2 linked regions of the Alligator mississippiensis genome follow. The protein of the gene in region 2 purifies or fractionates together with the protein of the main gene of each other region. This does not show direct contact. Links are inferred from orthologs where the notes say so. Each region holds a gene or a part of one and is shown on either strand. Other genes may lie near its edges. The genes, in order: TPI1 and ENO1.

What was found.
Region 1: the proteins of ENO1 (region 2) and TPI1 fractionate together in Homo sapiens (co-fractionation; 4 studies listed by BioGRID, with this or other methods). This does not show direct contact. The link is inferred for Alligator mississippiensis from reciprocal best matches to the Homo sapiens genes ENO1 and TPI1.

The regions. Positions count from the first base shown.
Region 1 is NC_081824.1:244,003,689-244,011,109, reverse strand, and holds the start of TPI1 (triosephosphate isomerase), read right to left. Parts: upstream 3,079-7,421; 5' UTR 3,019-3,078; coding exon 2,907-3,018; intron 544-2,906; coding exon 420-543; intron 307-419; coding exon 222-306; intron 58-221; coding exon 1-57. UniProt on the Homo sapiens protein: Triosephosphate isomerase is an extremely efficient metabolic enzyme that catalyzes the interconversion between dihydroxyacetone phosphate (DHAP) and D-glyceraldehyde-3-phosphate (G3P) in glycolysis and gluconeogenesis.
Region 2 is NC_081836.1:10,361,063-10,368,806, forward strand, and holds the start of ENO1 (enolase 1, (alpha)), read right to left. Parts: upstream 3,210-7,744; 5' UTR 3,171-3,209; intron 1-3,170. UniProt on the Homo sapiens protein: Glycolytic enzyme the catalyzes the conversion of 2-phosphoglycerate to phosphoenolpyruvate. In addition to glycolysis, involved in various processes such as growth control, hypoxia tolerance and allergic responses.

The sequences.
Region 1 (7,421 bases), on a different chromosome or scaffold from region 2:
GCAGGCAATCACACCAAGACCCTCAGCCAGGGCGTGAGCCACTTTCTGTCCAATCAGCTGGAAGGAGGACAGGAAAGGAAGAAAGCTTGAGCTATGGTCAGACTCACTCCCAGTGTTCACCTTCTAGGGCAGCTCTAGCCCCCTGCCCATGAAGATGTTAAAAGATAGTTTGTTTTCACCTCGCCCCAACCCTGCAAAAAAAAAAAAAAAAAATCACTCACCTCATCAGACTCTCCAAAAACATGCCTTCTCTCTGAGTGGCCAAGGATAACCCAGGTAGCTCCAACATCTTTAATCATGGCTGGGCTGAATGGGAAGAAAGGAGAAACATTAGTTTTGGGGTCCGTGTTGAAATGGGTACCTGTTGCAATAAGTTTCAGTTTCTGTTCCACCAGCTCCATCTGCGACTGCAGGCTCACCTAATCTCTCCTGTGAATGCTCCCTTTGGCACCTTGTAACAGTTCTGTGCTGCAACCCCGATCTTTGCATCTAGTTTCTGACGGGTGAAGTCAAGGTAGATGGAAGGGGCTCCACAAACCACCTCTGAAAGATAAAAGATGGAGTAAACCTCATGGGGAGCAGGCAGGGTGTCAGATCTGACCCACCCTCCAGTTGTAGAACTTCCCTTGCCCCCAGGTGCTCACCCCTACTCCAACCCATCTCTCAGCTCTGTTAAGCTGTAGCAACCCATCACAAGCCAGCTTTGTTGAATTTCAAGGACCCACTAGAGCAGGAGGGTTATTGCTGATGCAGTTTGATTTCCTTGCTCACAGAACTTAGGGGGAACACTGTCATAGGAAACCACTTCTCACATCTCTCAACAACAGGATGATGCAATGTTTCAGGTTTCCAAATCAGAGCAAAGGACCCCTGGGAACTGTCCAATTGAAAGTTGTTCTTTTCTTTCTGCAGATAGTTTAGATGAATTGAGAGTAAGGAGGGGAGCACTGACTTGCACAGGGGATTATAAGTGTAACTGGGAGCCAGGAAGGCCAAGATAAAGGGGGAACAGACACAGTGACAGGAAAAAGGTGGTCAGGAACCATTACCCAACACTGAGGGGACTGGGAATCTTAAGGAATCATTACTCCATGAAAGGGAGCAGAAGCCCCACTGTTCAGGTCCCTGAAGAGTAGAGCTACAAGTCCTGAACTACATGTATCCCAGTGAAGCTTCAATTATCCCTACAGCTACACAGTACAGCTTGTCCCACTACAGTAACTAAAGAGCTGTCCGGCTGATGCTTCTCGGACACTGAACTTGGGGAAACCACCACTGCAGCACTCTCTTGTAGACAGTGTGTTCACCTTCCCTGCACACGAGTGGAGGCCAGAAAAGGTGGAGACAGAAGGGATGCTGCTGCCAAGTGAAGGAAAACATAAAAATTAGATGCAAAACAGGGAGGGGCAGGGGGTTCTTCCACTGGGCAGGTCTGATCCTGTCCACTGAACACACAGGCTTCAATCACTACCAAGGCAAGCATGGAGCTTAGAGTCTGGGTGCAGGAGCCATGTTATAACACTGCCTATCTGCATACATATGGAGCTCTGCCATCTAGTCTGTGTACCAGGATGAGACAGGATGCCTACCCCAAACAGGGACGTTATAGTCCCAGCCAGCCACCCACTTTGAAGGCAGCAGCAAGGAAGCCTACAGTACTCAGCACTGCCCTCTCCAAAAAAGGAGGGGGTTGTGATAGTTTCAGGGAGAGTACCTGCAACTAATAGCCCCAGGGGCTGCCCCAGCTCCCCTCCCCTCTGGCCTTTAGAAGGGGGAGAGGGGGGAGGGAATCTGGTTTCCAACACCAAGTACAGTAGCCGATATTTTTAGCCCAGTCACCATTGGTTATATTTAGGCTTCCATCTCCTCACAGCCCTTTGACATTTCTTCAGGGTGCCTCCCGCAGAATAACAGCTCCCCCAGCCCCATCTAGCCCTTTCTGAGGAGGCAGGAGGCAGACATCCAAAGAGAAGGAAGATTCCATGAGTCCTGCTCTTCCCCTGCTGGCCTGGAGCCAAGATGTCCCAAGGACACCAAGAGGAGGAGCAGGAGCCCAGCTAAAGTTGTGAACACAGGATATCAAGCAACCCTCAGGGAGATGGGGGCAGAAGCCCTGTGTAAGGGAGCACAAAGCCTGGGCTGGGAGGGAGGACCAGGCCAGATATGTGCACAAAGCTGAAACAACATAACTAAGCCTGGTTTTAACTGTACTGGTTTAACTCAATTAGCATTGGAACCAAAGCAATGTCAAGTCCTAGAGCAGTGATCCCTGGCCAGGTTCCCACAGCACCCTGGGGTGCCTTGAAGTAGGTTCAGGGTGCCGTGCCATGCTCTAGAGCATGCCAATGTGACTCCCAATGATTTCAAGTAGGAAGCCGTGGTGCTAAACCGATTTTGCCCTGTGGGTTTTGGAGTCTTCTGCCACCAGACGTGCCCTGCTCCTCTTCCACTGGGAAACATGGAAGAGGCCAAGAGCTGGAATTTCCTCAGGCCTGCCTGCAGCCCAGCAAGGGCAGCCTGGAGTCTCAGAGGCTTGAGAGCTGCTGCCCTAAAGGGAAGGGAAGCGAGGCCAGCCCCAGCCCCAGCCCAGGAGAGCAGGGACCTGGGCGAGCCACGTGCCAACTTAGGAAGTCCTGTCCCGCAGAGAGCCAGGGCGAGGCAGAGGAGCGGGTAGCTCCAGCCCAACCCTACCTACCCCCGCCCAGCCGCCCCACGATGGGGCAGCGCCAGCCCGTGTGAGCCGGACGGGCGCCGCCACAGCATCCCCGGGGCCGGGAGGAAGCAGCAGCCGGCGGCGGCGTCACGTGGGCCGAGGCGAGCCAGGGCGTACGTGCGGCGCGGCACAGCGCGGAGACCCGCCCCGCGAGTGGCTGCAGGGCCGGGATGCCGCGCTGCGCGGCTCTCACCGGTCTCGGCGGGGATCTTGCCGCCGTTGAGGGTGTGGATGAGCTCGCCCAGGCTCTTCTTGTCGCCGTTCATCTTCCAGTTCCCCCCCACGAAGAACTTCCTGGGCGCCATAGCTGGAGCGGAGCAAGTAGGACGACGGCTCAGGACGAGGCAAGGTCAAAAGCTCCGCGCAGTCGCCACTGCCGCGCTTTTATAGGCCGGCTGGGCAGCCCCGCCCCGCGTTCCATACGCCCCGCCCCCGGGGCGTTTCCCAGGGGGAGAGAGCGGCCCCTGTCCGCGCTGGAAGACCCCGCGCATCCTGTTCCCTCCCGCTGCCCCGCGCTTCCTTGCTTTGGGGGACACGAGGTTCCTGCACCGCCCTTGTGCGTGTGCGCTCACCTGCCTCTGCCTGGGTCTCAGTGACGAATGATTGCCTGCCCCACCTCACAGGTTGTCATAGCCCAAGAAGCCCTGCTGGGCAATAGGCAGGCTACCAGGACATGGGGGAGAGGGTGCAGTTAGCCCACGAAGCACGGGGGGCTGAGGGGGCCCTTCAAAAGACACTTGTGGCACCCCTAGGTGCCCAGCACCCTGGTCGAGTATCACTAGGCAGTGCAAATCTGTGTTGTCTTCTGCTCACGTTATACACAGAGCTTTTTTTTTTTTTTGGGGGGGGGGGGCTGTGTTGGTTTTTTCAGCTACCTGATTTTACTGCCTAACTCCTGGAGACATTCAGGAGACCCAGGACTGCAGACCACCTGGGGTGGAGCACGCCTGCCTGCTGTGGAAGCTGGAAGCAGCAAGGGGGTGGTCAGGGGCTGGAACAAGGAGTCTCTCCAGAAGTGGAGGGACCCAAGGCAGTGGGGCAGGGTGCTTCTTCAGCAGGGCGGCCAGGAGGCATAGGGGAGCTTTCACTAGGAGGCTTGTCAGGTGCATGGAACCTTACCTGTGTCCAGCAGTGGCCATGGTCTACGTCAAGGGCTTCAAACATGCAGCACGTGGGCCAGATCTAGCTTAGAGCATCTCTATCCAGCCTGGTGGGCAACAGGCAGGCTACCAGAAGTTGGGGGCATGTAGCCTGCTAGAGAACGCAGAGCCCTCTAGCTGTGCTGGCCCATAGCCCTCAACAGCAAGGTTAGTGCACCACATTTGCCTCTGGACACACCTACAACTCCAGACATCTGCCAGCTCCTCAACAATTTGGTGAGGCAGGTACACATGGGTCTGAGGCTGCTCCTGGACCCTGGCCCTGGGCCCCCTCTGCATGATTGCTGTTGAAGTAGTTGAGGTCAGCAATGTGGCCAGAGCTGAAGCATCCTGGGGGCTGGGTAGCCAACACTACCAACAGGATGCAGGAGCATGTCCTTGGCCTCTCTCTGGCCTCAACACAGTCCTCCATTAAGAGTCCCCCTCAACCCCCAGCCTAGTACTGCTCCAGGATCCCAGGGCCCCTTATCTATGGTCCAGGTTTCAATTGGCTGCAAAGTAATGCAGCAGAAGCAGTAGCACTTGCCAATGCAGCTGAATCCTGCTAGTTGTACTTTTTGCATAATTACATTTATTTTTCTATTTGGTCTTGGAAAACCACTAGATGCCCAGAGGAACAGGACAGATTTGCTCCGGGGTATAAATGGCCACTGTGCATTTCCAGAGATGACTAGGATCTCTGTGGAGGAGCATGCTTAGTGGCTGTGGGTACAAGTTACCTGGCTGATGTGTACTGCAGTAGTAAACAGCCAAGTAAGTGCCATTCAATTCTGAAAAAAGTGAATTAGTGCTGCACTTAAGACAGATACCAGAAAAACAGCCTGTAAGTGGCACTTAAGCACCCACATCATGAAATACGATTCTGCCCAAAGCCTCTTCACTGGCCCCCGACTCCTGTTTTAAAAACCACCCTCTGATCAGCCAACAAGTCTAATAGAAGTCAGCCTTTAACTGTGCTTGGCAGTTCCAGATGTAGCAGAGAAAGTGGGGCTTGTGCCAGACTCCACAGTGAAACTTTAGAGGACCTATTATGGAATGAGTGGCCTACACAGGGTGACCTGTCTCTTCCTTTTCATCAGTAGTATCAAAATGCCTTTGTTAAAAAAAACTTTGTGTCCCCTACTCAAAGCTTGATTACAAACCAATGGCCAGCTCCTTTGCAAACAAACTTGATAAATGGATATAATACAATTAACTAATTGCCCATCAAGAATGACCGGGAATGAGGGAAGCATGCCGCCCCCCCTGTCCAAGCCTCCGGGCCTGTTTCCACCCTACTTCCCCTTCAGGTCCAGGCCCATCTCCCCCCCACCCCCCTGGCCTATGTCCACCTGCCTCCCCTAAAAGGTTCCGAAAAATGTATAGATGATATTGTTATATCCTCCAGGCCCATCTTCTCATCTTATACCCCATGTCAATCCACTCACCTTTCTTTAGAGCAAACAGGTAGTTGCTGTCACACTAGACATCACTTACTGTATTGTTCTGTCATTCACAGGTTTCTACTAGGGCCTGATGCTTTCACCCCCTCCTCCAAACCCTGACCATTCAGTTACAAACAGACATCACCCTTGTCCCAAGAGAAAATATTCCCCCCCCCGACAAAATGTGAGCATTCAGATGTCACAGGACAAAGCCCCCAAAAGGTTCTTAGGATAAGAGGTGCTGACAGTTTGTCCTGTGCTATCACAAAGGATGTCTGAATGGTTGTCCTGTGACAGCAGTGGGATCTGCTACTGCTGATGTAGTTTAGAGACTACCATGCACCTATACCACACATGACCAGGCCTGAGGTGCCTGTTTCTGCTACTCAAGCATATCCTCTACCAGCCTGGATCGCCTAACAGGCTGTTACATTCCCCGCTTTCCCCCTGCCATCTGGATTCTCTAGGCTGGGGTGGCCAACCTGTGTCAAGCATGTCACAAGCAGCACAGAGGGTTCTTGTGGTGCACAGCAGATAACAGACTGGGCAGGGAGCAGAGGACATCCAATCAGACCACAGAATAGCAACCAAAAGCAGCAGATTGGGTATGGGAAGGGGATGGGAGTGGCACTTGGGGAGGGTGTGGAGCTCATCTTGTGCCATCCCTGCCAAAAAGGTTGGCTCCAGGAACACTGGACTTTCCTCAGCCAGAGGCTTCACAACCTCTGTGGACATAATGATTCCCACTAGTTTTTAAAAGCCATGACCTGGGCCTGTCTTACTCTTAACATACTACAAAGCCCCAGAGATGTTTTCATCAGTAGGCATACACACTTGGGAGTTGCTTGGTTTTTTTCCCCCAAGGTTGTCATCATCACTGTAACATCATCTACAAAAGCAACTGCTTTAGGAAAAATGGACTCAGGGTGCAGGTCACAGAACATGCTCTCTGCCTCGATGCCCTCCCTGTCATATGGCAAAAAAGTACAATACCAGGCTAAGATACACGCCTGTCTCACCTTTGGTCACAAAAGAATTGGGTTTGTGCCATCAATCTGTAATTCAGTAGCTTACTTGTGTCAGCACAAAGTTTGAAGAGAAAGTGGCATCTTGTATTTCTTTTATACCCCTTACAAACAGCCATGAGCCACTCCATCAAAAGGGCTTACCTCTGGCCTAATAAACAAATACATCCTTTCCTTTGGCCTCTTGCTCTGCTTTAAACACCCATCTCAAAGCTCAGAGCTGACAGTTTCAGCAGCATCTTCCTTTAACCATGCTTTACCAAGCCAAGTGCATCAAGGAACAATGCACCTCCTCCCCCCCCAATAGTGTCTGCAGCAACACCTATGAAAATGATCTTAACATCTGTTTGTTAGTGAAAATATCTATCCCCCTTTTGTAAACAGAATCAACATTCCTGTTGTATCATTTCTACATCTTTCTGTGAATCTTTGACTCTTGTGCTTTTACACAAGCTAGAGAACTATTCCTGCACTGCACTTGGCATACTTATAAGGTCTGTTTTAAAGACCCCCCCTCCCCAAACAATGGTCAGATACACCTGTGGGCTCTGTTGTGTCCTGCATGAGTCCCTTTCTTTATACCAGTGATTCTCAAACCAGGGTGCCATGGCACCCAGAGGTGCCCCAAGATCCTTTCAAGGGTGCCATAAGATGCTGTATAATATTAGCACTGTTTGGTGTGCAAACATGTTCACAAGATAAATTCAGAGATTTCAAATCGGAATCCATAGTGTTAAAAACATTCTGGCCTGCTATAGTGTTTCTGAGTTCTTTGCAACAGAATTGCTCTGGTATTTTTCTGTAGTCAAAAAAAGTGTGTTAAAGAGCTGGCATTTTCTGAGGGGGGCCTCAAATGTAATATAACAGGTGCATAGACTCTAAAAATGTTGAAAACCACTGTCTTTCATAAAGCTTCTGTAGCCTAGATTTATGCCCCAATCTAAAAAGAGCAATGACTTGTGGCAGAGGAAAAAGAGTATGTTATCTCAATCCCAAGGCTATGCAAGGCTCTACCAAAGCCAACAATCCCTCATTAAGGAGATCTTTGAGGCCTGCAGCACCTTTCCCTTCCTTTCCAGAACTTAGCTTTCCCACAACC
Region 2 (7,744 bases):
GTTGCAAGAGCCACAGATTGTCAAAGTTCAGTCTGACTGCACAGCCATCTGCAGTAGAGATGTGATTGCACAAAAATGTCCTGCAGCGTGACAATCCTGACTTGCATCTCCTTCCCCTCTATATTCCCTTGCCTTTTCCCAGGGATAGCTTAGGGCCCACACTCCCCTCCCATGATGTTTGATTGCTGATATGATGTAGCGTTTCCTTTCCCTGTGCCCAAATCCCTATAATCCAACTGAGGCTGCTTTTAAACAGCAGAGCTCATTAGGCTCTCCTATGGGCTGCATCTTGCTTTCATTTTCAGGGCTGCAGTGCAATCAAAGAAATGATGTCCCACCTTCCAAGAGAGATGTCAGTTCACAAGGAAATGGAGCAGTGAACTTCTCCCTTGTACAAGCAGGAGACTATTTCTCCTAAGCATTCCTCACTGTGGCCATCTCATAAGGTCCCGGACAAGGAGGCACATTGCTCCAACGTCCTTGACAAAATGCCCTCCCCAAAGCCCCTCCCCTTCCTTAGCAGCCATGCAGTTTCCAGCGCTGCAGCGTTACACAACTGCACAGAGCCGTCTGCCAGATAGTCTGACCCGACATGGCTCAGGTGCCTCCTGCTCCGATTCACTCGACCTCAGCCACGAAGGGGAAAGGAGAACAAGAGCCACCTCAACCCAGCTATGCTCCTGCCTGCCTGACTTCATGTTGCTGGTTGCATGCCAGGGAGAAAAGACTCTAGAAGCCAACATCTACAAAAGGATTTGGAAAGCAGAAATGTTCCTGGAGTCTATTCAGTGCTTGGAGATGGAGCCATGAATATAAAGTCTGCACAGCTGCAGCTTTGTATCTTGGTAGTTACAAAAAAAGAGGGAAACATTGAGCAACTAAGTTGCTCCTGATCTATGAGCAGGGTCAATTCTCCTATTAGGAAGACAGGAAAAGGCAGGCAGGGAACACACGCTAGGCTGGGACTTGCAGCATCCCGAATTCTGTCGCATCAAGCCTCTCAGATGTCTTATGTCCCATCCAAATTCTGGTGTATGGGGACAGTACATCACACAAGCAGCTGGCATGGGAAATTAAGCCAATTTCAACCTCAGGATTAAACAGATTGAAGAGACTTTTAGGCCACATCTTCACTGCCAAAAAAGGGAAGGATTCTGTGGCTAACTCACACTTGCCAAGTCATTATGCAAACGCCCCTGTTCTGGTAAGGAAATATGGTCTAAGATGGACACAGCCACTCGTTGCTGCTCAATATGACAGGCTGCTGAGGACGATGAAACAGTCCAAAGCGCAAGGGCACGTCCATGGCAGAGTCCTGCCTCTCTGCAGGGCCCAGGTTTTGTTATACAGCCACCAGCAGTTTGCTTGAACTTCCACTTGGTGCTGAACAGGATTTCCTGGAGGTCTGCAACCTCACCTACACCAGGTAATGAGCAAATGCAGCAGGGCGAGGTCCTGACACATCGCTTCCACAAGATAAGATGCAGTCAGAGTATGACCTTAGCAAGGACTCCTTCAGATCCCACCTCTCGACATACAGCACGTGGCTCATTCATTTGTATGCCTTCCATGCAACAGCCCTTAGGACCGTGCTTGGCACCCAGTGTGGCAGGGAATGCAGAAGTCAGGAAATGCCCAACTGTTCGGAGTCCATGTTTTTAATCAAGTGGAGGCCAGGGACTGCATTGCCTCCATTTGTGGTTTTGGAAGCGAAACAAGGGCTTCCTTCCTGCACAGCTCAAAGCCTGCATCCCTGCCCTGTGACTCAGCGTAGCCATTAACGGAAAGTCTGGATGACTAAAATTCCTCTCCTGACCACCTGCACCAACCCAATGCCAGTCAAAAGGAGACTTTGCACCATTTTTTCACTAGTGCATCAAGACAGTGGAGAGTCCCATCAGGTTACAGCCATTACCTCCCACCCTGTTCCAAAAGCAATGGGACATTTCATTATTTTCATGGTCAGATTTCAGTGACAGCCGCTAGCAGAGAACATTGGTCGAGCAATACACTCAATATTTGAGAACCAGGGCTGAAGGGCAGCTACTGTCGCAAGAGAGGAGAAGGTCCAGGGGACTGAGCAGTATCCAAGACAAACTGTCACTTGGGCCGTTAATCATTAAGAGGGGCATTTTATCTAGTCTTTGAGGAAGCAGGCTGCAGAACAGCACACAAATACGCACCCTGAAAGCTGCTCCCTTCCATCGATACAGCATGACTCAGTTCTCACTACAGGGAGGTGCACTCCTACTCAGCACTACTAACGTCATAGGAAAAGGAGGACTTAGGTAACCTGCATATATTACTGCGGCTGAGTCATAAGAGGCCGTTTCTAGAGGTCTAGTTCCCACTGCAAAGAGCACGTGCTTGACTGCTACAGCGTGCCTGGCCTGGCCGATATCAGCATGACCCAGGGGCCTGCAGGCCTTGCAAATCACTCCCTAGCTCTGCCCAGATTAGATGAGGAGCTGGTATGCGAGGCAGGGGAGCAGCCCAGAATGGGGTTGCTAGGGCTGCTCTGCTCTCCGGTTTCAACACCAGGCCCTTGCCCTGGCTCTGCACCCAACAGTGCCTGCACGGGCAGGGGAGTGAAACCCAGGACGGAGGGAGGGATTCAGGGCACGGGGGAGGATAAGGAAATGGAGAGAGGGAAAAGAAGTAGAAAGTGCAGAGGGGGGAAATAGGAGGAACAAGGAGGAGGAGGAAGATGCAGAGGGGGGAAATAGGAGGAACAAGGAGGAGGAGGAAGATGCAGAGGGGGGAAATAGGAGGAACAAGGAGGAGGAGGAAGATGCAGAGGGGGGAAATAGGAGGAACAAGGAGGAGGAGGAAGATGCAGAGGGGGGAAATAGGAGGAGGATGCAGATGCAGGGGTGGGGGGCGGGTGGATGGGACTAGGAAATGGAAGGAGGGAAGAGGAAGAAGGTGAAGAAGTACTGGAAGAAGCGGAAGGATGGGGACTAGGAAGCAGGAGGAGGGCCGAGGAAGGGGCTGACGACGATGGGAGCAGGGAAGCCGCCTGCCCAGCGCACAGCCCTGGTCCTGGTCCTGCTCCCGCCCGGCCCGGCCCGGCCCGGCCCGCTGCCCGGGGCGCGGCGGGGGAGAGACGCAGCGCCCCCCGCTCCCTGCAACCCCACGGCCCGCCCGCCCGCCCGCCCGCCCGCACGCACCGGGACCCAGCAGCAGCAGTGGCAGCGCCCAGACACGACCCGACACGACCGTCTCCGCCGGCAGCTCGCAGAGAGTGGGCCGAGCGGCCGCCCGCGCGCCTATACCCGCCCCATGCAGATGCGCCGCCCGGCCCGCCACGCCATTGGTCCGTCCGGCTCCGGCGGCCGCCTCCCATTGGCCCAGCGGGGCCTGGCGCCGCCCCGCCCCTGCGCTCGTGCGGGACGTGCAGGCGCCGTGGAAAAACCCCGCGCCGCGTGCGGGCCGCGCCGCCAAGGGTTAACCCCTGTGTCCCCCCAAACATGCACACCCCTACACACACATCTATGCACACAGCAAAGCCCCCTCAGGTTTAGCAGCGCCCCAAAGAGCGGGGGTGCCCTATGCCTGCAAATCCGAACCCCCTTTTTAAAAGAGGTGCTTTTGGGTGCCTCTGGTTGGCGGCCGGGTGCTGCCAGCAGGGTTATGCCCCGGGTAAAGCGGAGGAGCAGCCCCCAGGGCAGCCCACCGCGGGACTGGAGCCAGGCCTGGCTTTCTGGGACTACGAAGTTGCTGGGGAAGGTCCTTTCGGGCCTCCAGATGGATTTGCAACTATCCCCCAAATGCAGCCCAGCATCGGGCAGAAATTCATAACAATCAAATAATAATAAATTGGAAAGGTTTCTCTGTTTGGATTTTGCCTTTTGGAATGATTTTCATTCAGAAAATTTACCTAAAGTTACTCGTAGTAAAAACTGGGGTGAGGACCCTGAAATCAAAAGCTGACACTTTGGTTCAGATGGAAGAAAAGCCCAAATGAAGTCGTTCGGGGTTTTCATTTTGCTCAGGAAACTGGAAAAGCAACAGTTTGGTCCACACTATCATGGACGAAATCAGGAAATTGCAACAAGTCCCATTCCCTTCTCTTTTTTGGCTGCAGGAAAGATGAAGGAAGAGGCTAGGACAAAGCGTAGGCAAGCAGTTGTGGAGAAGAAAGGCAGGGGGGTGCTGGAGACATGTAGCTAGGTGCTAAGCGGCGAGGATTCAGTGAGTTTAGCTTGTCACGGCGCCGGCAAGAATTTTTGCACTTCTATTATCCCCTTATGAAATGCAGGCCTTAGGGTCAAAAGATAAGGCACTGATCTGTGCAGCTAACACGTGCAGTGCCATTTAGCCCTTCATAAGGTTTTGGTGGGTGGAATGCGGCTGCGAGGGGGATGGGCAAGGGGAATTTCACTGTGGCTGCCAGGTTTCAATCCCTCCTCCCCACCTCAGGAGTGTACTAAACTGCCTGTCTAGAGATGACATGCTGCATTGGCTCATAACGAGAGCTTTGAAAAGCAGGTTTTTTTCATATTGCACAGAGAATGCACCAGAACTTCAGTGAATGTAGCATCCTTTCATGTGCCAACCCAACCCTTTAATATGCAGCATCACAGAAACACAAATCAGATACAAGCATCTTCTTTCGGCAACACAAAAACTGCCAAGTAATTGAAAAGGTCTTTGAAGAAAATGGCCCTGAACAGTTTATGTTTCCATTCTCCAAATGGTCACTCTGAAGACAAGGGGGGAGCTGTTCTTTGTTAGCAAATGGGGAGCACGTGCTCTGCAAAACTGCTCGTGCCTAAGTATTTGAAGATAAGAGACCATTGCATTGTTAGCAATGGGGATTTGGGATGTGTAAAAAATGCTGGATTTAGGCCAAGGGAAGTTTTTCATTTCAGTCTGCTTTGGATTAGGAGGCCTGTGTCCTGTAAGTGAGAACAAGAGCAGCCAGTTAAAAATATATATTTTGCAATGGATAGGTATTTGAAATACTTATTGGTACTCGCTGTGTGTTTTCAAGATGGGGCTGATAGTAATGCTTAAAACGGACTGCTGGCAGTCCTTGGACTTACAACACAATTGGTTCCTGAAAACCCTGTCTTAAGTCGAAACATTGTAACTTGAAACCGATTTTTCCATAGGATGCAATGTTATAAATGGGGGATTGGTTCCTGAACCAAGGCCCAATACCCTATTTTCACCAAAAATAACCGAGAATTTTGTACTCAATCAATTATAGATGCATAATATAGCTAGATTAATGTATTTAGACTGTAAATAGTAATCATATTGATTCGGAAGGACTTCTTTGAGGTGACTTTGCTGGACTTTTTGAAGGGCTCTTAGCTGGAGTGTTCTCAGGAGTCTTGGCTGAAGGTTTTCCTGAAGTCTTGAACTTGTTCACTGGCATGGCGTCGCATCGGATCAAGCATTGTAAAGTTGAAACTGAGGTCAGAAAGTTGAAACAGGGTGTCAATTTCTAAAAGTTGTAAGTGCGAAACGTTGTAACTCGAAACGTTGTAAGTTGAGGGTTGCCTGTACACATACTGTCCCTAAGAGACAAAAGAAAATACTTTGGTACATTGTTTCAGCCTTACTTCTCTATGAAATAAAGACACAAAAATGGATGAGGAACAAATATTGAAGCATGGTCTCTCCCCCCAACCCAGCCTCTCTCTCTCCCACTGACTCCTCAATTTACATCTTCACTGACTGTCTGTCTTGCATGCAGACCAGACCAGCCTCTGGCTTCTTTACTTTTCATGCCATCCAGGAAGAGCACACACCAACTGCTGAAACTTCCTCAGCCTGATGAAGGGTTTTTAAACCCAAAAGCTTATTTAAATGTTTTCCCCCCCCAACTATTTAAGTTGGCCTAATAAAAGATATCAGATTCACCCAAAGAACCTTGTCTGATGAACCATGATAAATTCTGAGAGGTGAGAATTTCATAGGTTGATATCTTTTATTGGAACAACTGTAGTTGGGATAGTTAGACAAGCTTCTGAATGCAAGACATTCTTCACAACGAAATGCAAAACCCTGAACTTTGGAGTTCAGAGCTTATAGCTTTTATTAGATCAACTAAGAAATTGCAAAAAAAATATCTTTCTTTGGAAGTTTTCGGGTACATGCACCTTCTTTAGGCTAAGGAGAAATTAAGAAGGGTACATGTGCCCGAAAGCTTACAAAGAAAGATAATATTTTTGCAATTTCTTAGTTAAAAGGTATCATCTCTGAACCAAGAGTTTTAGAGCTTTGCATTTCTTTTTGTCTCAGACCAACATGGCTACCACATACATCCCTGAGACATTCTTCAACAAGTTCTGTGAAATGCATTTGGATTTTGGAACAAATCAATATCAACAGCACTTGCATCTCTTTTGGGTTCACTATCCGTCAACAGCCAAAAGCAACAAATGCTTGTGGAAGGCTGATTTGGAAGCCAAATCGTGTGTGTGTGTTCATAATAAATTAATTTTAAATGTGCACTCATGGTGGGCTCATGCATCAAACAGACAGAGGACACCTATAAAATACCACCTGATTTATCTAACCAATTGCAACTTGGCAGCAATTCTGAAGGAGCATATTTCAAGGGCCAAGTGATCTCCCAGGACAGTTTAGTATCACATGCCATGGAATCAAAACTGTTTGTCAAAATAATGTGATAAATACTTCCAAAGAAACTGTGCTCCATTCAAGGACATTTTGTGACAAGCACAATAATCAGATAACTTTTCAATGATACTGATTCACTCAGCTGTACTTACTCTTTCTTGTTACTGGGATAACACTTGAAAGGCATGTGATGTTGAACTGTGCACAAAATGCGCAGAGTCCCAGCTCTGGAAATTAATAGCTTGCTTTTTATGGAGTCAGTGGGGATCCCTTGTCATGGTGTATAATAAGAATGTGATGTTTTGTGCGAGTCACTCCCCATTGACAAAGCCGCTGAGAAATACTTTCCCCCCTAGGATTCACTTGATCATCTTGCACTATCAGCTGTTCCCAGCCCACAGCTGAGTAAAGCCTTACTGGACTCAAAGCTTCTGCTTGACATGCCAAAAAGTCTATGGCCAGAGCCAGTGTGAGCTGCGGAAGTTGTGACATACCCTGATCCATAAGCAAAGATAGAGTCTCTTCCTGCTACCAGCTGCCAGTCTCTTCCAACTACTTTGCTTCCAAGGGTACTTGTTGGACTGGCTGTTCTGATTAGAGAGACATAGATAGCTCTGCTGGTCTGAAGTCAAATATAAGGCAGAGTAGCTTTGCACCTTATAGACTGGGGCGGGCAATTTTTTTGGGTGGAGGGCCGCTTGCTGAGTTTTGGCAAGCCATCGAGGGCCGCATGACAAGCAGCCGGGGCAGATAAATATTGATTTTCTAAATTTTGTAGGGGCCCCATGGGCTGGATACAATGGTCTGGCGGGCCACATCCGGCCCGCGGGCCACATTTTGCCCACCCCTGTGATACACTACCTAAAGTGTGTATGGAGAGCACATGCTTTTGTGGGCTGAAACTCACTTCATCAGATGCTGTGAAAGGACATTTAATGTTCTGATCAGGTCAGCCGGGTCACATACCTGTAGCTAAAATGCAGGGGACACAGGACAAAGCTATGCTAAGGCCCAGCATAACTGCTATGGACAGGATGAGAAGATGATTTGATTAGAGAGATCCCTTCACAAGGCTAAAATGAGACAAGTGGATAATGTCACACTGCCGGGATCACAGCAATCTAGGGAAGGACAAAGGAAGTCCTTT